Ovis aries: one gene and its partners. The protein of the gene in region 2 interacts with the protein of the main gene of each other region in a pairwise test. Links are inferred from orthologs where the notes say so. Each region holds a gene or a part of one and is shown on either strand. Other genes may lie near its edges.

What was found.
Region 1: the proteins of CEP63 (region 2) and EZH2 interact in binary tests that used the Homo sapiens proteins (3 or more experiments, as listed by UniProt). The two-hybrid records come from large-scale screens. The link is inferred for Ovis aries from reciprocal best matches to the Homo sapiens genes CEP63 and EZH2.
Region 3: the proteins of CEP63 (region 2) and TBC1D15 interact in binary tests that used the Homo sapiens proteins (3 or more experiments, as listed by UniProt). The two-hybrid records come from large-scale screens. The link is inferred for Ovis aries from reciprocal best matches to the Homo sapiens genes CEP63 and TBC1D15.
Region 4: the proteins of CEP63 (region 2) and INTS6L interact in a two-hybrid assay, tested with the Homo sapiens proteins (2 studies listed by BioGRID and IntAct). The link is inferred for Ovis aries from reciprocal best matches to the Homo sapiens genes CEP63 and INTS6L.
Region 5: the proteins of CEP63 (region 2) and GSE1 interact in a two-hybrid assay, tested with the Homo sapiens proteins (2 studies listed by BioGRID and IntAct). The link is inferred for Ovis aries from reciprocal best matches to the Homo sapiens genes CEP63 and GSE1.
Region 6: the proteins of CEP63 (region 2) and PPP4R1 interact in a two-hybrid assay, tested with the Homo sapiens proteins (2 studies listed by BioGRID and IntAct). The link is inferred for Ovis aries from reciprocal best matches to the Homo sapiens genes CEP63 and PPP4R1.
Region 7: the proteins of CEP63 (region 2) and PCNX4 interact in a two-hybrid assay, tested with the Homo sapiens proteins (2 studies listed by BioGRID and IntAct). The link is inferred for Ovis aries from reciprocal best matches to the Homo sapiens genes CEP63 and PCNX4.

What each region holds. Positions count from the first base shown.
Region 1 is NC_056057.1:113,214,573-113,218,623, forward strand, and holds the start of EZH2 (histone-lysine N-methyltransferase EZH2), read right to left. Parts: upstream 2,801-4,051; 5' UTR 2,674-2,800; intron 2,584-2,673; exon of another isoform or gene 2,568-2,583; intron 1-2,567. UniProt on the Homo sapiens protein: Polycomb group (PcG) protein. Catalytic subunit of the PRC2/EED-EZH2 complex, which methylates 'Lys-9' (H3K9me) and 'Lys-27' (H3K27me) of histone H3, leading to transcriptional repression of the affected target gene.
Region 2 is NC_056054.1:255,417,167-255,420,666, forward strand, and holds part of CEP63 (centrosomal protein of 63 kDa), read right to left. Parts: coding exon 3,380-3,500; intron 2,605-3,379; coding exon 2,319-2,604; intron 465-2,318; coding exon 306-464; 3' UTR 1-305. UniProt on the Homo sapiens protein: Required for normal spindle assembly.
Region 3 is NC_056056.1:107,983,474-107,986,654, forward strand, and holds part of TBC1D15 (TBC1 domain family member 15), read left to right. Parts: intron 1-1,725; coding exon 1,726-1,842; intron 1,843-3,143; coding exon 3,144-3,181. UniProt on the Homo sapiens protein: Acts as a GTPase activating protein for RAB7A. Does not act on RAB4, RAB5 or RAB6.
Region 4 is NC_056080.1:99,350,249-99,352,454, forward strand, and holds the end of INTS6L (integrator complex subunit 6-like), read right to left. Parts: coding exon 2,167-2,206; intron 1,470-2,166; coding exon 1,367-1,469; 3' UTR 501-1,366; downstream 1-500.
Region 5 is NC_056067.1:11,187,734-11,190,668, reverse strand, and holds part of GSE1 (genetic suppressor element 1), read right to left. Parts: intron 1,966-2,935; coding exon 1,862-1,965; intron 1,339-1,861; coding exon 1,204-1,338; 3' UTR 1-1,203.
Region 6 is NC_056076.1:42,175,729-42,177,976, forward strand, and holds the end of PPP4R1 (serine/threonine-protein phosphatase 4 regulatory subunit 1), read right to left. Parts: intron 1,621-2,248; coding exon 1,457-1,620; 3' UTR 501-1,456; downstream 1-500. UniProt on the Homo sapiens protein: Regulatory subunit of serine/threonine-protein phosphatase 4. May play a role in regulation of cell division in renal glomeruli. The PPP4C-PPP4R1 PP4 complex may play a role in dephosphorylation and regulation of HDAC3.
Region 7 is NC_056060.1:70,384,149-70,387,648, reverse strand, and holds part of PCNX4 (pecanex-like protein 4), read right to left. Parts: intron 922-3,500; coding exon 818-921; intron 1-817.

The DNA of each region.
Region 1 (4,051 bases), on a different chromosome or scaffold from region 2:
AAGTCAGAAACTAACTCAGACTCCTGGAGCATGCCAGCTCAAAGGATGGGGGATATCCTGGAAAATCTCCATGCGACCTGGGGAAATCTACCTACACATTTCTAGTGGTCAACACAAAGATAATCACTTTTACGTATGCATGCAAGGCAAAGCTGGTATAAACGAATTTGTGCTCTTTTTCTTTGCCTAACTATACTAAATCAACAAGCATAGTTTTTTATCACTGCTACTTAAACTAAATACACTCTCAATTCAAACACAAAAAATTTAAAACCAATTCCCCCAAAAACCTTTTCAAACAAAATCTTGTGGCAAGTACAAAGATAGTAATTATCAAATATAATGTACACAAGATGGGGAAAACTGAATTTTGTATTCTAAAAGATTCAAATTTCTGCCAAAATCTGCATAACTAGCTCACCTCCTAACAATGGGCAAGATTATCAGTAGGACTTTTTATAATTACCAACAACTAATATAAATGTAGACAATACTTAGGAACAGCACCTGGAATGTCAGTTCAGTGATGTTGAACACTGCAAAATGTGTAAGACTTTTACACTACATTTCTTTGTCTCCACTTTTTTGAAACCGTAAAATAGAAGGCTGCACATTAGATCAACAGATAAAACAATGCAAATAAGAAGAGTGTCTAAGTGTTTCTAAATTTCGTTCCTTTGAATACGTTCACTTTCCACAAAAATTAATATTTAAGATGCCATTTTCCTAAGTGTTTCCAAGACTTTAAACATTACATTCTCTCACACACCTCCAAAAAGAGAATAGGATTCTCTATATCTAAGACTAGAACCCCATCTATTCCTAACTTTAGGGAATAGGAAAAGGAAATTAAAATGTATCTTGAATACTTTCGTTTTCTTGCAAATAAAATGATCAATAGTTAGGATTACACACTTGCTCTACATTTTATCTCCAAACATAAAATATTTGCTAATGGTCATAAGGAGTAATAGAAAATAAACTCCACAACCAACCCCCCTAGCTCCCTAGTGATCTAAGGGTTAGGATCCCACCCGCTCGATCTCAAACCCCCCTAGAAGTACAGACTACATTCACCTGTGTTAGCATTAGTGTTTTTTAAAAGCTTTTTTAAACTGTTGTTTTAAATGTTGTTTTATGTGACATTGAAACGCCACAAAACTAAGCTGATAACGACCTTTCAAACCCAGCTAGCAAACCGTGCAGCATTTAAAGCATTTTTAAATACCAAAGACATCTTTATTTCCAAATGAATTAAAATTTTACAGATCCCGTGCGACAAAGTAGCTTAACTGCGGACAGCACACGTTCGATTTCTTAGGCAACGAACATTTCTGCAGCCAGTCTTTTCTGACTCAACAAAGCTATTGTTCACGGAAAACAAGTCCAATTAATGAGAAATTGCTAACCATACCATCCAAACACACATTTAGCATAAGCGTTTTCTTTGGACCAACTCTTTGTACCATCTCTTCCCCGTTCATCCCCTAGGGATTCGGGGAACAATCTCTCCTCACTAAATGACAGCTGATTTCGTTAGCACCTGTCGCCAGTCTCACACGAGTTGGCCAAAACAGCCTGGACAGGTTTCTTTTTTTTTTTTTTTTTTTGGAAGATGATGATTCTTCAGAAACTGGGGATTCACCAGGCGTTGAGTTCACTAAGTTTTCCAAAATACCACGCTTCTCGATCCCTCCCGTTCTTCACAAAGTGACCCTGAGGCACCGACTTTTGGGGAGGCGGAGATGGGGGTGGGGGGCCCACAAGGACGCGTGAACTCGACGGAAAGCCCTCCGTAACGAACAAAACCGCGGAGATGGGGGCGGGGGTGGGGGGTAGAACAGCGCGACCCGCCCCTCAAACTTAACGGAGAGCCCCGCCGAGACGACAGAGGCGGCCGGGGACCGCCTGGTCCGAGCGGGGCTCGGGGCCTCAGGGCTCCGGGGCAGCTTTCGGCGGAAATGTCAGCAAGCGCGGACGCCCGAGTCCGGTCTCCGCGCGCCGTCCCGGCCCCCGCGGCCCCGGGCCGAGCCTGCGCGCTCGCGGGGAGGGGGCGTGGGGCCGAGCCCGCCCGCCCGCTCCCCACGCCCCCTCTCCGCCCGCTGTCAGGCCCCGGTGTCACTGCCCCTGACTCGCGCCGAGCTCCCCCGAGACACAGTCCGTCCTTTGTCTCTGAGTGCGCACTCGGCGCTGAGGTCCCATCAACTTGTGTGGGTCCCGTCCCACCCGGGCGCTCCCGCCGCCGTGCCGCTCCACACAAAGGAGACCGGGGGCTCGGGCGGCCGGCCCGCCCCGGGCACCCGAGCGCCCCCAGCCCGGCCCCGGCGCCTCGGGAGGAACGGGCGCGCGAGGGGACCCCCCCCCCCCCGCAAACCCTCCGCTCGGCGCCCGCCCGGGCTCCCGCCTCGGGTTTCTCTGGCTCCCACACAGCCCGCCCGCGGGGGTCGCGCGGATCGGCCCGGGCCCACAGCCCTTTCCGAGGGGGGTGAGGGGAGGTCTCTTCTCACCCCCACGAGCCCCAGAGGCTCCCCGGGAAAGCCCGCTTGTGGGGGTGGGGGGAGGATTACCCGGACCGGCTGAGCGGCAGCGGAGATGTCCCGCCGCCGCCGCCCCACGCCGAGCTCCGGAGCCCCGCCGGCCGGCCGGCCTGCCGGCCCGACAGCGGCGCGTTACCTGCGCCCCGCGCCCCAGCCCGCGCCGCTCCCGCGCGCCGCTCCCGCGCGCCACCGCTGCCGCCGCCGCCGGGGCTCCACCGCCTTCTGCGTCCCAGTGGGTGTCGGACGCTCCCGGACCGAGCGCCAAACCAGGCAGCCCAATCGCCATCGCTTTTATTTGGCCCCCCCTGTCCAACCAAGCGCCGCCCCGATTGGCGGGACGCGAGGCGGGCTCCCGTCCAATCACAGGGCCCGCCGGCCTCTGAGGCGCCGAGCCAGCCCCACGCAGAGGCGCCCGCGGGACTCTGCCGGGCCGGGCCGGCGGCGCGTGCGCGCGGGCGGGCAGGCGCTGAGGGACGCTGCCGCCTGAGTGGAAGCGCCGCGCCGGCTCTTTGTTCTTTTCTCCGAACGCCCGGCGCCTCTCAGGAAGGCGGTGGGGCCGGCGTTCGGGGAAGAAGGGCCTCCGGAGCCCGAATCCCCAAACCGCGGGCGGGAAGGCGGGCTGGGCGGGGTGGCGGGAACCGGCCGGAGGGCGGGACGGCGCGCTCGCGGCGCTTGGCGGGAACCGCCGCTTCGGTGTTCCCGGGCCGGAGGGGCGGGGCGGGGCCGAAAGCCAAGTTTGAACCAGTTCAAAACTCGGGGTGGTAACGGTTTCAACTGCCGCGCTCTTTTTCCCCGCGCGCGCAGCGGAGGCCCTGGCCGGCCGGCCGGCGGGCGGGAAGAGCCGGACACGAGGGCTCGCGGCGCCCGGTCTGCCGGCCAGACGCCCTCTACGGCCCCAGCTCCAGCCCGGCTGGTCTCGGGCGAGGAGCTGCGAGCCTCCCGCCCTCCGGCGTGGCCGATGCGCCGTCCCCCGAGCCGAGCGGAGCGCCCTGCCGGCTACTTTTGTCTGCTGCCGCCCCTCGGCCGCTTGGCCCGACTCGGGTCCCACTGGACTTTGGCTAGTCGATCCCACAGTGCCCATCGCCTTAGAAACCCTGGGAAAGAGAGAAGTCACGATTATTTCAGATTCCTCATTCAGAGCGCCTTGTTCAAACCCTTTCCAGTGTTGCAGTGCCAAGCACGTGTCAGCGTTAAAAATCATTTATCAAGGATGATTGTTCATGTCCCTCGTGCTAACTTCTCTACAAAGTATTAAGATGCCAGCATTTTTCAAGTATTAAAAAAAAAAAAAAAGATCATGGGGTGAGCCTGTCTCCACCCAGAGGAGTTAGTGCTATTCCACTTAGGATACAGTCGCCCTTTTTGATTTATCTGGCAGTGAAGTTAAGGTTATTCCGATTTTTTTTTTTAGTAGGGTGTAACTATAGGGCAAAGTAACCCCCTCACCCACATAAACTGAGATTCCAAATTGAGAGCTCACGTGCGGGGCAGGGAAGACGGTCACCTATGAGCTC
Region 2 (3,500 bases):
ATTACATTTAAGTCAGCAAGAGAAAGTACTACTTTATGATAATAAATATTAATGTGAGAAAAAAGTCTAGCAAAGTGGTTTATTTACATGTTATTGCTGGAAAAAGTCCTTTAAACAAGACAGTGCAGAGAAAACATCTTAGAGCTAAGTATCAGCTTCTCAGATTCCTCACGGCAGCTTTAGTACATCTCATTTTTATGGCTTCTATATAGTCATATGTTCAGGTTTTCAAAGAGCTGCTACTTCATGATGACAGTAACTCTTCAGAGTTTATTTTTATTTCCAAGTTTGTGATTTTTAAGAGGCTACTTTAGGACTGTGAATTGTTTCACTGTCTTTTCACTTTCTCGCTTTAGTTCTTCGATGTGGGCATCTAGGCGCTCTAGAATGTGATGAGACCTCAGCTCTTCCTCTTCCAAAAATCTTGTGGCTATTGAACCAAGAGGAGACAGAGGCAAGGGACACTAGAAGAGAAACAAATTTTGACATATGTAAGTTGAACAGTATATTTCTAAGACACAGTATTCATGATATTTTCTAACTACCAATATCAAAAGGGGAATGTTTTCCTCTGACAAGATATTGTCTTTATCCTAATGATAATAATAGTTTTTTTTTTAAAAGTTCCACAAAAATTAACACAGATATCTTCCTTTCTGACACAGTTATGTAAGTGTGAAGTGTCATATAAATATATTAGTTACTCATTTAAAGACTTTCAGAGCCTTCTATACACTAGAAGAGATATACTTAATGCCTATTTATTTCAAACTCACTTATGAAAATCTGAATGTTACTTTTTAAAGCATAGAAAATCTACCGGTAATAAATTAGATACCAGCTAAAAATCAATATTTTCCTTCCTCCAAAATTTGAGTCTACAGCCCCTTGTCTGAGATCACTGGCTTCAGAATTTAGATGCACCATATTCCATTGATCCTTATCTGTAGTAGTTATCTTCTATAACGTCATCTCAAACACTGAATTAATCAATATTGAAACACTGCTCTTATGGGAAACACAAACACATACATACAAACTTCACATAGATTATAATCCCAACTCCTAAAAATAACTCACCAGGTAGATTCTGTTTGCTTTATTTCACAAAAAAACAAGGTTCACAGTGTTTAGTGACTTTCCTGAGGCCACCCCATTAATGGGTGCCAAAGTTGGGGTTCAAACCCTGTTCAAGCCCAGCATCTGAGCTTCGTGCACTGTACTGTCCCTGAGTGACTCTATCTTCTGGGCCTCTCAGCACAAGAGCTGAAACAAGAGGGTAACGTACCACCTTGGCTGACCTTAGCTATAAACGTGCAAGTCCAGTGATACATTTTGTCCAGCTCTGCCATGTTCAAGAATAACTGTGGAAGTGCTTATGAGTTCTGTTTACAGGTAACTAATAGTTTAGCAAGTAGATGAATTCACAAATATAGAATACAGGACCTATGCATGAGTCTGAGGTAACATCCCATCATCAAACACATTGGTATTTCTGACATAAAATGTTCAGTGGGATCAATCAACATTTTATCACATCATATCGGTTCAGGCCAGGTCAGGTCTTAGTGCCAAACTTAAAAAGAAAGTTAGTCATCAGGTCTTTTTTGGATTTCAGAATTACATATATAGCACATTTATTTCAACAACTAAAAGAGAACTCCTATGGACTTGTTGGCACATTAAAAAGTCAAAAATACTGAACTTTCACAGATACAGGACCATTAGGGTGATGAGAATGAATGGCCAGACATGAGTGCTTCACAGAAGGCAAAAACAAGGGTGGAGAGGGGTCCTCACATCTGCAGGAACAAGGGGCCAGCCCTGTCGCAGGGCAGCGTCTGCCACCAGGGCCCCGTGGGGCGGCCCAGTCTATGGTCTATAACAGACACATCAGCTGCCATTACTTCCTCTGCCTCGACCCACTCTTTCCCTTTCCAGCCATTCCTTTTCTCCTTCACCAGTGTCTACGCCCCAGGACTATCTTGGCAGGCAGAGATATTCTTTGAACCAATCATTTCCAATACAAAGGTGACCCTCTCTGAAAAAAGGCAGGAAGGGAATTCTCAATTTTGGCTAAAAACAAATGAGTCCCTATAACTTATATTTAATAAGACACATTTTGAAAAGTACTTGTGGCTGAAGTCTTCACAAGCAAATTCTTAGGACAGAAATACATGAGAATAACAAAGGGTACTTAAGAGAAAGAACCAGTAAGGAGACAAAAAGGAAAAAAAAAAAAATCCTCCGCCTTAAAATTAAAAAAAAATCAAACTAAACACACTTAATAAACTAGTAAGATCAGAAAGTTTCCATACCGAAGATGTAAAGTCTTCTGGGTCATTTATACTCTCAGAGATAGTGTCAGAAAAGTTGGCTTCATTTGTATCTAGCACTGAAGGCAGAGAGTTAGTTTTGCACAGAAAGTTAGATGGCAGGGAGACAGTGGAGCAGCAAGAGCTGATCTGATGGCTTGGGGGGCTGAAGCCCCGGGACAGGGACACAGGCTCTATGCTATCCGACGCTTGTCCTTGCGGAGAATGAAGACCTGCTTTGTAGGGCTCAGCCTTCATCCCATCATGCCTGTGCTGGCCATGGGCTGAACTGGATAGCAGATTAGAAAATAAAGCAGATAAACATTGTAGCAATTTTCCTCCTTTAAAGAAACAGACTTATTGTTGGAAGTTCAATAAAAATACAGAACCAGACTAAGGAGAAGGCTATAATTTACAAAATTTCAGAAGCCCGTTCAGACCAGGCATTCTCTTCATCACCCTGGCCCCAAATACCCAATCCCCATGACCACGTCCCTGTCCCCACAGACTTACACAACAGCAAGGAAGACACTTAAGCTATCTAAGTGCCCTAGTGGGGTTGGTGGTAGGAGACAGGGAAGTACTGTGCAGAGAGAAGTCCCTTATCTTCATCTGGGGGTGAGGTGGGAGTGGCAGAGAGGGTGTCAGCAAAGGTTCCTGGTAGGAAAACATGTAAGAGCTGAAGTCGGGTGGTTCTGCATTGAACGCTGATGTTTTAGGTAACAATCTATTATTAGTTCACCAAAAATACAAAAGAAGCTTTTTATAAAAAGCTAACTTCCACTTCTTATGGGACAAGTGAAGCTAGAAAGGTGGGAAGCAGCATGACAAAACTCAGGAATTAGGCTGTTATTCTCACCTACATCTAGAAGTTTACTTGAAAGTAATATATAACCCCCTGCACTTTTTAACCTAACAGCTTTACTTGTACATACTGTACTTCAGAATTAAACATACGGTCCTTTGATAAGGATTTAATTTCTATAAATTGGAAATTATTCTCAAAGAAATGAGCATTACATAATAAAGATACATATTTTAAATAAACTATGAAGAAAATTTACTTGAACTCTGTATTCTTGAACTCAGGTACTCTGCTGTGTGTTGGTTTAAAGATCCTGTCCCGGTTTTTTTTGCATATCTGAGTAGAAATCTCCAGCTGACCTTTGGTATCCATCAAATCTT
Region 3 (3,181 bases), on a different chromosome or scaffold from region 2:
GACTGGGGGCCAGGAGGTTTCCCAGAACCAGTTGTGTAGACCATTTGACCTTGGGATACTTTATGAGACTGTGCTGAATTTGGGTGTAGATTTAAATATAGTTAAGGAAGTTTTGGCAGGCCAATCAGTTGAGATGGTACTTTATTTGTAGTCTGGAGTATTGGGAGGGAACCAACTTTCGTTCTGCTTTTTAAAGAAATTTAAGTTAGAGCAAAATACTAAGAATAATGTAACAAATATGCTACTATCTGCATTCAACGTATGTAATAATTTTGCCTTATTTACTTCTATCACGTTGGCCAAAAAGTTTGTTCGAACGAACTTTTCGGCCAATCCAAGAGTCTTTTCTCTTTCTTTCCAAGGCAAAAAATGTTGAAAGATATAGCTTAGATCTTTAATCACCACCCCAAGCCCCATTACCCTTTTCCTCACTCTGGAGAGTATTCATGATCATGTTTTTGGTTTATATCTTTTTATTCCATCTTGTACCCAGGGCACCTCATGATGAAAAGCAAGATATATTTTCTTTTCATATGTCTGTTAATTGTTAACAGATGGCAGTACTTTCGAAATAGACTATTGGTATGATGACCGTCCACTACCTTATCTTTATAAAAGTAAAGTTGACAGAAACTTTGCCAAGGAAAGAATGGGGGAAATACTCTATTCGAATAATAAGTAAACTTAATATGCAGTGAGTATCCTGAGGCTTTTACACCTGGAGGTTGATTCCTGTACTTTTGGAGGCTATGCTCCCATTAGAGAAGGTGATCCACTAACTGAAGGATGCCCACTTTCTGGAGGAGCATTTCTTTGTTTGAAATTAGAAGGAACACTTAACATGTTCTTGACCTAGAATTGTACTTTGAAGTTTATCAATTTCATTAAATTAGTATCTCAGCTTCTTTTTAAAAGTTTTCAATAATTGTAATAACTCCTTAATCTGTGTTTACCAAATAAATTAGGACTTTTAATGAAATCTTTGAGGTTAATTGCATTATAATTAAACTTTCAAAAATGGATTTAGTCTTAAAATGATTCTACTTGGTTTATTTTTAGTAAAAGAAGTAAAAACATTTCTGGTATGCTTTAATAATATTGTTTACATGAGTCTTTGATCTTTCTAAAAAGATATTAAGTACATTAACCAGAGGAAATTAAGACTTTAAGTTTTAGGACATTGATTAGGAAGAAATGATCAAATGTTGTACACATTTGGGGTATAAATTTTGAGTGGTTGATTCAGTTTTTGTCACAATTAGAGATATTCTGATTTATTATATAATTTGTTGTTTAGAATGTAGAGCTACCTCTGGGTGTTTTTGATTCCATGCAGTGTATAACTGCATTTTTATTCCTATGATGTAGCTTTTTCCCCCACCCCAAGAAACTGAAGGTGATTTAAAAATGAAAAACTGAAGGTTCAGAAAAATATTGAAAATACCTCTAACCCTTACACCTTACCCATATAGTATTGATTAGGCTCAGAACTAACTGTAGTCACCTAAAGAGACATGTTTGGAATTCATCATAATTCATTTATTGTTTGTGGGTAAAGGTAAGACTTTCATTCCCCACACCTCATTTCTTAACTAGAAAAAGAATGGACTATTCCATCTAGGCAAGTTCTGCTTTGCATAGAAGTCATTCAGAATTGAGCATCGTTATCTATGAAGGAAATATTTTAGAATTGATAGAGTTTACTATGTGTTCTGTTTTCTATAGGTAATGTGGACTGAACTACCATGTAAAAATTTTCATCTTCTTCTCTGTTGTGCTATTCTGGAGTCAGAAAAACAACAAATAATGGAAAAACATTATGGCTTTAATGAAATACTTAAGGTAGTTATTCTTCTAATTTAGATTTTAATATTTTGACTCTTTCCTCTTTTTGTTGGAAAACAAACATTTCCTTGGAGTGTTATTGAATCTCTTGAGTGACTTAAAATTTTATCAGTGGTAGTCAATACTAGGCCCAGTTTTCTGAGAAGGACAGTTCAGCAGGTTGAACATGTTGGCCAATTATTTTTTTCCTTGCTAATTAGAAAGAGAAACATGCGACAAATGCTCTTTTATGTTGTTTACTTTTCTAAACAAAGTAATACTTTTGCTTATAACTTTGAGATAGTAGACTTGGGACAGCTGCTGGATTTATGTTCCATAAGCTTATTATTAATAGCTGTTCCTTAGCTTTACAACTTTGAAATGCTCTAATGAGGGATATATTAAATTTCCCATTTACTTGTAGTCTGAGGGTATTTTGTTTTGAGGATTTTGTCTACAGTGTAATATAACTAGTATGACACCACCCTTATGGAAGAAAGCTAAGAACTAAAGAGCCTCTTGATGAAAGTAAAAGAGGAGAGTGAAAAAGTTGGCTAAAATTCAGCATTCAGAAAATTAAGATCATGGCATCTGGTCCTATCACTTCATAGCAAATAGATGGGGAAACAGTGGCTGACTTTGTTTTTGGGGGCTCGAAAATCACTGCAAATGGTGACTGCAGCCATGAAATTAAAAGACGCTTGCTCCTTGGAAGAAAAGTTATGACCAACCTAGACAGCTTATTAAAAAGCAGAGACATTACTTTGCTAACAAAGGTCCATCTAGTCAAAGCTATGGTTTTTCCAGTGGTCATGTATGGATGTGAGAGTTGGACTATAAAGAAAGCTGAGCACCGAAAAATTGATGCTTTTGAACTGTGTGGTATTGGAGAAGACTCTTGAGAGTCCCTTGGACAGCAAGGAGATCCAACCAGTACATTCTAAAAGAGATCAGTCCTGAATATTCATTGGAAGGATTGATGTTGAAGTTGAAACTCCAATACTTTGGCCACCTGATTTGAAGTACTGACTCGTTAGAAAAGACCCTGATGCTGGGAAGGATTGAAGGCGGGAGGAGAAGGGGACGACAGAGGATGAGATGGTTGGATGGCATCACCGACTCAATGGAAATGAGTTTGAGTAAACTCCAGGAGGAGTTGGTGATAGACAGGGAGGCCTGGCATGCTGTAGTCCATGGGGTCACAAAGAGTCGGACATGACTGAGCGACTGAACTGAACTGACTGAATATAACTAGTAATAAATTGTGTAATAGAGTATAATAGTGTTTCAGTTTCAATTATTTTATTGATTTATTCTAGCATATCAATGAATTGTCCATGAAAATTGATGTGGAAGA
Region 4 (2,206 bases), on a different chromosome or scaffold from region 2:
GCGTCTTTTAATAGTTAGACAAAAGAAAAGCAATCGATCCCATTGATCAGTCCTTCAGGGAGGCCTCTGGACAGGTTTAAACAAACACAATTCCTTGGGAATAAGGTCTATTCTCCTCCCTCTTGAGCCAGGAACCCTCAGTTGGAATGCAGGCTGACATCTTCAAGACCACTGTTATACTGGGGAGGAGAATGAGGCAAGAATAAGTTAAAATGCTACCAGATTTTCCTATCACATTTCACTGGGTCTTCTTCTGACTCAACATTCACTTGGTTGCTGTAAACCTCTATTTTCCAGAGTCCCAGTAAACTTGATTCCAATCATTTTCCCCAGCATTTTCAGTGTTTCTGGAGTACCCCACTCCACCAGTTTCACCAGTTCAGTGAGTGACATTTTGAAGTTTACATCATTCTGCTAACATCTTAATTACAGTGGGCATTTTTTCTGAAAGGAGTTACAAATCACAAGAAAGATAAAACTAGAAATTTCTCAAGCGTCAATGACCTTGTGAAAAATCAATAAAATGATTTATTTTATATATGAAAAGTCAAAATCTCTTTGTACACTTAAATTTCTGCAAATACAAACATAACAATACTGCTCCATAAAAACTTTTGTATAAACATTAAAGGAAATATCTACATTACTTTTTCTTTTAGTGCTTCTGAAGCACAGAATGCACAAGTCCACCTGAAGCCTTTCTGGCATCACATGCAAGAACAAATGTCAGGGGTGGAGGTGGCCTCAGGTGTACTTTGTAATGTCTCTAGACAAAATAGAAGACAGCTGGAGGTAGATCATTTGGTGACTCTCCCTGCCCCCTCCCATGGAGAAATAAGTTACCCAAATAGCAGCTTTCTCACTCTTTGATCCAAACTGTCCTGAATATTGCATGGTTTTAAAGGCACAACTAGGAATTGTTGAAAACTTCGTTCAGAACACACACAATTAGCAGTTGGACTCTGAACCCCTCTTCTTTCTAAATGCCATAGTAAGAGCATCAAGTAGTGCTCTACCTGCAGGTGGCCCCTAGTCACTCTGGACATGCCCAGGATGACCAAACTCAAGAGTGAACCCTTATCACTTGTGTGTGTTCACTGAACTTAATCTGCTGGATTAATCATGTCACCTTCCTCAATTGGGAAAAGTAACAATAAAACAACCAGTTAGTACTTTCAAAGAAAACGTAGGGCAAAGCCAGCTTTTACTGCCAGAGAATCAGAAAATGAAAGGTGTCATTGTTTTTTCTTAACCTCTGGAAGCCAGTTCCCTTGATTAAAACATCCTAAGATGTTCAACAATATCCCGCTCTGTCCTACAACACAGAGAACTTGTTCTTTTTTCCTTCTTGGTCTCTGCCGTAACATCATGATCTGCTGTTGATGTGATTAACATTGTTGAGAAGGTGATAGGATTCTATTTTTTCTAGTACCTTCTCAAGGTACTGAATTAAGACTCGTCTTTTGAACCTAAAAAAGAAAGAGGAATTTTATTAACCAAAAAGTCCTTAAAGCACTGTGTGGGGTACCAGGTGGAACCGACGATTTACATGGGAAATAGAGAATGTATCTTCATGTAAAGATGGGGCTTAGCTAATACCAAGAGTACCAACTGAGAGCCCAAGCCCACCTCAGACTGTGAAGAGTCCAGAAAGCTCCCATAGACTTTGGTGAATGAGTTGGACTTGGATAATAGCAATCTAAATGCCTCTGGAGATAGCTGTAACTATGCATGAAGGCCAGGGCTTACAAAAGAAAGGCAGGATCAATCCCTCTGCCTGTCTTACATTGGGTCCTTTTGCTCACAAAAACACACAAGTGACTTCCCCGGTTGTCTAATGGAATCTGCTCTGCAATGCAGGGGACACAGGTTTGATTCCTGGTCCAAGAATTAAGATTCCACATGCCTCGGGGCAACTAAGCCCACACACCCAAACTACTGAGCCTGTGCTCTAGAGCGCAGGAGCTGCAACTACTGAACCCAGATGCTGCAACTATTGAAGCCTGCACACCCTAGAGCCCGTGCTCTGCAATAAGAGAAGCCTCTGAAATAACAAGCCTGTGCGCTGCAACTAGAGAAAGCCTGAGCACAGAAAGAAGACCCAGCGTCACCAAAAATAATTAAATAAATAAAAAAACACAATGAAGAGTTCCTCTTCACACCCACCGTGCAGCTTCCTTGATGGTAAATTCAACAAATTGTTTCT
Region 5 (2,935 bases), on a different chromosome or scaffold from region 2:
TGGTTCCTGCTGGAGACCAGCAGCGCCTCGCTGGCCTGGGGAGCCGGGGAGGGCCCGGGGGAGAGGGAAGGAGGAACCATGGCTTTCTACCTCACTCCGGTGCAACTCAAGAATGAAGTGCTCGCGTAGGCGCCAGTGGTAAGCTCTTTTTACTTTTCTTCTTCTTTAATTTTTAAAAACACTTCAATAATGTCCTGACCAGCAGCAGTACAAACACTAAAAGCAAGGGTTGTTTTTTTTTTTTTTTGCCCAGAAAAACAAAACAAAAAACCCCCAAACAAGAAAACAAACAACAAAAAATCCCCCCAAACCACATATTAAAAATGGCAGGCTTTTTATAACAATAATTAAAGTAATAAAAACATACAAAACTTTGTTTTTTAATATATATACACAGTACAAGGCTGAAGCACCTTTGACTTTTCTCTCAAAATTGACATTTGTATGAAAACACCCCCGCCCCCCCTGCAGTAACAATCGGGTGGGTGTGGATAAATGTACATAGAGCTCTGGACATTTTCCCCCACGAAGGAATAACAAGGTACCTTCAGTCTGTCGATTCACTTTAGGTAAGAGCTTTTCTGGGGAAAAGCCTTTGGGTGAGGCTTCAGTACTGTTGCTTTGTGTGCTCCTAGGACCTGTTGCTTTCAGGAAAACTTTGCAGAAAAATAACTGAAACAAATAAGCCCTTTACTTAGAATGCACCCCACCTTCCTTCTGCTGGAGCGGGTCTCCATCCTGGGGAGGAGCGAGACCGGCCACCCCACGGCCAGAGCAGCCCGGGTTCCTGAGGCCACAGGGCCTGGCAGCACACGACACGCACACCGGTGGCCCGCTCCGCCTCATGCACCCAGGGGCTGGGAGATGGGCACAGCTTAGTGTTGGTAATGGAGCCTTCATCTTGAGACTAAAGCATGACGACGTGGGGAAGGGAAAAACCGCCTTTAAAAGGGAAGAAACTATGGGCGTCTTAAACGGGTTGCTTGCTGAGTTACAAAGGTGATCCAACTGCACTGAAGTCAAGGCGAGTTCGTTCTTTTTTTCTGGAGCCTGGAATCCTTTGCTTCATGCATGGCACATTCTCTCTTTTTTTTTTTTTTTTTTTTAAGCGTCAAACCTCCCAGTGAAAAATATTAAATATTCAAGGTAATAAAATAGATAATATTTCTATACTATAGGTTCGGCCTAGTGCAAGGGAAACCGTCACCTCGGGAAACCCTTGAAGTAGCCTCTAGGCCAATGCATTGCAGGCAACGCAAGGCACTTCCGTAAGTGGTCCAGTTCCGCCTGGAGCCGCTCCCGTTCTGAAACGATCTTCTGCTTCTGGCTCCTCAGCTCCTGGAGGGAGACTGGTGTCAGACCCGCAGTTCACACAGTTAGGAAGGCTGTGGGATGCGCTCTAGCTGCCCCCAGCATCTCCCAGTGGCAGCACCTGCCACTCTCGCAGCGTCGGCCCTGGCACTGCCAAGCTTCTGCTGCGTCGGGAGTGGCCAAGGTGTCCAAGCCCCAAACACACAACAGCGGAAGATGGCAGGGCTCTCGCTGTCACGGCTGTGTGTGTGTGTGGGGTCCGTCCTGTCCCAAGAGCTCGGCCCCCTCCCTCCATCCTCCTGAGCGCGGCACGGGGGAAGGCTGATACGGGCAGTACACCCGCCCCCGACCCTTCCAGACCCATGTTCTGCGAACAGATGACACTCCCTCCTCAGGTGACTGCTGAATTTAGCCCCTCTCAAGAGCACAACTTCCCTTCAAAACTTGTCTGTATGGGTGCTCCTGAACCCAGACTCGAAAGGCTGAATGAGAATAACCACTGTGGGGTCAAGAAAGCCCCCACGGAGCCAGTACGATCCCTGAGACTCACCGCCATGCTGTGGGAGAGCTGCTCGGCCGTGAGGCTGAGACTGTAATGCTGCGCCTCCAGCCGCCTGCACTGCGCCTGCAGCACCTGCCGCTCCAGATCTTGCTCTGAAAAGACAAGCCAGGGTGACGTCTTCTGTACCCAGGGCCCCAGGCCCGGCGCGTGGCCTCTTCTCTCCAGAGCAGCTGGTCAAAGCTCTATCATTTGGACCACATGGCTCCCTCCCTATAGATCGTGCTGGTGACTAGATGTTACTAAAGTAACCCGACCCAGGGGAATAAAGACCGAGGACACAGCATTGAAAGGCAATTTAAGGGACGCAGCTTAGGAAACAGCAACAACTTACAGCCTTAAGATGCATTTTTCAAGAAAGATAAAAGGCTTAGACACAAAAACTGTTAGAAATTTATCATTTTAACAAGTAAAACCTCTGCCTTTCCGAAAGATACTGAGCTTCACATCTTCAGGAATAAATCTGTTTTAACAGTCTCTTCAATAAGTGGTGCTGAGGAAACTAGACAACTGTATATAAAAGAATGAAACAGAGCACTAACGCCACACACAAAGGCACATTCAAAATGGATAAAGACCTAAATGTAAGGCTGGTTATTATAAAAAGCCCTTAGAGAAAAACAGAGGCAGAAGAATCTTTGACATAAATTGCAACAAGCTCTTTTTTGATCCACCTCCTAAAATACTGAAAACAAAAACAAACGGTGGGACCGAATTAAAGGCTTTTGCATGGCAAAGGAAACCATAAAACAAGAAGACAACCCATAGTATAGGAGAAAGTATTTATAAAAGATGCAACCAATAAGGAATTTAATCTCCAAGATATACAAACAGCTCATGTAGCTCAATATTTTTAAAAACCAACCTAATCAAAAAATGGGTGCAGATCCCCCCCGCTTATTTTTCTTAATCTTGGGTTCCCTGACTAGGGATTGAACCCACACTTTCCTCACTGGAAAGTGGATTCTTAACCACTGGACCACCACTTCACCATCTGGGTGAACATCTAGATAGATATTTTTCCAAAGAAGACATACAGATGGCTGAAGAGATGCTCAACATCAC
Region 6 (2,248 bases), on a different chromosome or scaffold from region 2:
ACTCTGTGGCTCTGCCCTTATTACCTGCGTCACACATTACCTGTGTGTTTACTTTTTTGTTCGTCTCCGTGAATCTGCCCACACACGTTCCCAGAGCACAAACATCCAGTTATAATGAAAGAGGAGGAACCAGAGGCTCATCTGTAATGACAAGTGCAGGAAGCAGCCTGTGGATCCCCGAGGTCTGAGGTCACAGTGGGCTCATGACACGTCTGGGGAGTCCCCACCAGCTGAGAAGACAGAACGGAAACCACGAGCAAGCATCTCTCACAGCCTTCACGAAGCTTGTCCATGTGGCATCTCACTTGCCAGACGTGGGGCGGGCAGGCTTCACCATCCCCTCGCACGCACAGACCTGGGCTCAGAGGCCTTTCCTGGGAGTGAAGACCCTCCCCCAGGCGGTGTCGGGGGTGGGAACCGGGGTGCATACTCGCCCTCAGTGGGGAGGCCCTGCTACCGGCCCAGGGTGTGCACAAGTTTCAAAGAAGTTACCAAACTAGTTAAAAGACAAATATTTTAATCCAGTTTTCCCATTTTATACTAAAATCATTAATACAGGTCACAAATTGCATTTATTCTAGAAAGCAGTCAGAAGTGTGTCCATCTCTGTATAGATCTTAGTAATAAATTTTATTTGGACAAGAGAACTTGTGCACAACAGTCCAAGAGCATGATTACAGACTGCGGCCCTCCCCGGGGGCACGGTGGTATACAGTATGTGAGACAAGTTGCACCTCAGAGCCGATCATGATCAAGTTAAAAACACCTGACATACAGAATACGTGCTAATAAATTTCCTCCGGGTCATGACCAGCATGAAGAAACCAGGACACGGATGCTCGGCAGACTCTGTGAGTGTGCACAGCAATATGCTGCATTTAAGAGTCACAATCAGCTCCACGTAGTGTTAGCATTGAGCCCTCAGGAGAAATCCAAAAAATATCTCCTCCCCGTTTATGCACGGCTAAACTAGTCATACTTTGGGCTGGACGGGGCGGCGGCCGCAGCCCCCGCAGGGCCCTGCCCGCGTGGACACGGCGAGGCCTGGTGCTGGCGGTCTCGGCCCAGCCCGGATGGCGGTCTCCGCCTTCTGGCTGCACTTCCGTCTCGCGGTGGTGAGATCAACCAGCGGGAAGCAAAGAGGCCTCGGCGTCGCATCCCTTCCGAGGAGAACGCTGGGCGATTCAAGTTTCGTTCAGTCAGGAAGACGGAAGGATTTAAGGCTTCGGTGACAATTATAATCCTCTGAGAAAAGTGTTTTCCCTTCAAGTCAAGACGAGACAACGGCGTTGACTGCACTTTCTCTTGACTCTGAGAATCCCTGGAATCGGTGTAGGCAACTTGCACCTGCAGCCGAGTGTCGCGGGAGGACGGGCCCCAAGGCTGTCCTGGCCACGCGTGGGCGCCAGCGGGACCTCGGCTCCCCGGGCGCGGGAGGCCCCCGGGACCACGCCAACTAGTAGGTGGAGGAGGCTGTGCTCAGGGCGTCTTCAGAGATCCTGGTGCTGGCCGGGTGGGTGCTGGCGAAGTACTTGACGTCACTGTCGCGGTCCATCTGCAGGGCCATGATGGCCTGCTCCACGGCCTCCTGGTGACAGCTGGCGGAGGCCAGGAAGTGCTCTGGCAACAGGAAGTGCAGACAATCAGAGTTAGCTTTGCTGGATGACCGACAGTGATCCATAGAACTCATGTTCTATGGAAAACACCCGAATATAAGAGAATCAAAAATTTACCTTGTTTTTCTAACAGACTAAATCCTGTGAGATCTAATGGCAGCAATGCTAATAAATATATTGAAACTGGTGCTTGTTATAGCCATTACTTGACTTAGGTAGAGGAAAAACTTTTCCAAATACAAACTACCTACACAAAGAGAACCAGAGTCTTCTCCAACCATTCAGTGATGAATTCCAAAGGAGAAACAGGGAGCAACGTACAGGCCCCTGCGTTCTATTTCAAAGTTAGTCTACGCAAAACTCTACCTGTCCCTGCTCACGAATTCACACGTTCAAGGGACATTTATCAGGCATTTGGGTGGGGGCAGTCCAACAGCCTGAGTCTTGAGGGAGGAGCTTATAATCTGCAGCAAAGCAGACAATAAGGGCACGTCCTCCACCTGACGCACATGCGCCTCCCGCCCCAAAGCTGAGATGGAGGTCAGGTGGGTGCCGAAGGCATGGTCCTCACTGGATACCCAACTGGCCACACTACTGACTTCAAAGTATGAAGACAAGGCCATGTGGGACAG
Region 7 (3,500 bases), on a different chromosome or scaffold from region 2:
TAAGATTTCTTACTGGATTGGATGTGGGGTATAGAAGTAAACAAGGAATCATATATCACTAGACTAAAGCCCAAATGCTTTTGAGCTGAGCTACCAGAAGGATGGAATTGTCAGCAAGAACTGGGCCAGTCTGATATTAAGAAGTCAAGGAAGAGGGAAGGAACCATCAGAGGAGACTGTTAAGGATTAATCTGTGAAACAAGTGAAGAGATCACTTCACTTGACAAATGCTTCACTGTGTCAAGTGCTTCTGACAGGTCAAATAAGACCAGGTGTAAGAATTGATCACTGGATTAAGCAATCGTCAGTCATTGGAGACCCTGATATTAGTGGTTTTTCAGTAGCATAATTGAAAGGGTTAAAAACTAGGGTAATTGAAGAGAAAATGGGAGAAATGAAAATTGGAGATATGATGATAAGCAATTCTAATAAAGCATTTTGCTCTGAAAGGAGAAAAACAGAGTGTTAGCAGGCAAGGGAAGTGGGGTCAAAAGAAGGTTTTTATTAAGTTGAGAATGCTTATATGATACAGGAGTGAAGAAAATATTACTCAGTCACCTTTTCGAGATGCTCAATCAGATAAGGATAAAAAGAGTAAGACTGGATAAAAAAAGGGGCAAGTGTACTTTGTTATTATGCTCTATCATATAGTCAACACTAGTCTATCAATATGTACAAACTGAAATATACTTTAAAAATCCTAGGTGTTTCACAAGTAATTAAAAGACACTGTCTTTCAAAGTGAGCTATTAAGTCTCTGATGTGTGTGTAACAAAAATTTTAACTTGTAAAAGAGAGATTTCAAATGCATAATGACCTTAATGTTAACACAGCAATAAGTATAGCCACATTCTAGAATCATTATCCATATTAAACGATCCTGAAAACGGCCCAAGTAATGAGACCCAGGTAAGAGGAGACCTAAAACAAATTAGAAAAAAAAGTAAGTAATTGTTCAAGCTTGTTTTATTTTGCCATGTGAATCTTTAAAAAAATCAATAAAACACTTGGAACTAATTCATAACTCTTTCTACCCTCTTTTTATGTCAAAAATACAAATGACTATCCATTGCCTATCAGGAGAAATTAAGCTTTTTACAGGAACAGCTGGAAGAAAAAACTATAGGTGATAATTAATAAGAATTTAAGAATATATTTTCCATAAAAACAACAAATGAGAACCTCTTACATAAAATTCTAAATACATGCTAAATATATTAGGAAAACAAATATATTTTGGACATTTTTATACATGCCTATAAAAATGATTTTTGCTGTTAAAAACTTACATAAAATGCTACCTACCAGGCTATAATACAAATACTCTTAAAACTTAGTTTTTCTCTTAACATTAAGTCTCTGAGATATTTTATTGACTACAAAGCTCATTCACTGTAACCGCACTGAGAATTCACTGTATGAATGTAGCTAAATTTAAATATTCATTTTTTGTTAATAAACATTTCATGTTTTCTAATTTTTCCCCATTATAAATAATGCTGTACAAATTACTTTGTACAAATCTGTTTGTATTGCTATCAAATAAAAGGTCTGCTTACAAAGTTGGCCTTGGAAACTTGTATTTCACTACCCTAACTGATAAACAGTCTCTCTTTGGGCCTAAACTGTGCAAAGAATACAGGTTATACTGAATACTTGCTTTCCTTTTGGGAGGCTGGAATTTTGGCATGTGGTAGGCAGAGGAGCCTACACGACCAGCCTTCAATATAAGGTTTAGGCACTGAGTCTCAAATAAGCTTCCCCAGTAGTCAACATATCACACATACTGTCACAACAAGTTGCTGGGAAATTATAACACGTTCTGTGTAACCCTACTGGGAGAGGATCCCTGGAAGCTTTCACCCTGTCTTCTCACCCCACGTGATTTTCCTTTGCTGTATTTGTTTTGCATCCTTTTGCTATATTAAATCTTAGCTATGAGCACAACTGAATGCTGAGTCCTATGTGTCCTAGAAAATCATCAAACCTGGGACCCCCAAAACACATGTGCAAGAGTGTCTCTAGAACTGGAATCACTGGATCATAAAATCTAAAACTGAAATCCTTAGGTCATGAGATATGTACATCATTATTACAGACTATTAAATTTACTCATCAAGGTAGCTGTATGAATTTACATTTTTACATTTTGCCAATCAGATGTGTGTGAAATGTTACCTCACTGTTGTTTGTTTGCTTTTTCTCCAGGAAATACTTAAAACACACTTACTGGATGAATATAATTGATTTGATAATAAATATAAGGTATTTATTATTTTAGATGTGAGTTTAACCTTCAGTTCAGTTAAGTTCAATTCAGTTGCTCAGTTGTGTCCGACTCGGAGACCCCATGAGCTACAGCATGCCAGGCCTCCCTGTCCATCACCAACTCCCAGAGTTCACTCAAACTCACATCCCATCAAGTTGGTGATGCCATTCAGCTATCTCATCCTCTGTTGTCCCCTTCTCCTCCTGCCCCTAATCCCTCGCAGCACCAAAGTCTTTTCCAATGAGTCAACTCTTCGCATGAGGTGGCCAAAGTACTGGAGTTTCAGCTTTAGCATCAGTCCTTCAAAAGAACACCCAGGACTGATCTCCTTTAGAATGGACTGGTTGGATCTCCTTGCAGTCCAAGGGACTCTCAAGAGTCTTCTCTAACACCACAGTTCAAAAGCATCAATTCTTCGGTGCTCAGCTTTCTTCACAGTCCAACTCTTACATCCATACATGACTAATGGAAAAACCATAGGCTTGACTAAACGGACCTTTGTTGGCAAAGTAATGTCTCTGTTTTCAATATGCTATCTAGGTTAGTCACAACCCTCCTTCAAAGGAATAGGCGTCTTTTAATTTCATGGCTGCAATCACTACCTGCTGTGATTTTGGAGCCCAAAAAAATAAAGTCTGACACTGTTTCCACTGTTTCTCCATCGATTTCCCATGAAGTATGGGACCGGATGCCATGATCTTCGTTCTCTGAATGTTGAGCTTTAAGCCAACTTTTTCACTCTCCTCTTTCACTTGCATCAAGAGGCTTTTTAGTGCCTCTTCACTTTCTGCCATAAGGGTGGTATCATCTGCATATCTGAGGTTATTGATATTTCTCCCAGCAATCTTGATTCCAGCTTGTGCTTCTTCCAGTCCAGCATTTCTCATGATGTACTCTGCATAGAAGTTAAATAAGCAGGGTGACAATATACAGCCTTGACGTATTCCTTTTCCTATTTGGAACCAGTCTGTTGTTCCATGTCCAGTTCTAACTGCTGCTTCCTGACCTGCATACAGATTTCTCAAGAGGCAGATCAGGTGGTCTGGTATTCCCATCTCTTTCAGAATTTTCCACAGTTTATTGTGATCCACACAGTCAAAGGCTTTGGCATACTCAATAAAGCACAAATAGATGTTTTTCTGGAACTCTCTTGCTTTTTAGATGATCCAGCGGATGTTGGCAATTTGATCTCTGGTTCCTCTGCCTTTTCTAAAACCAGCTTGAACGTCAG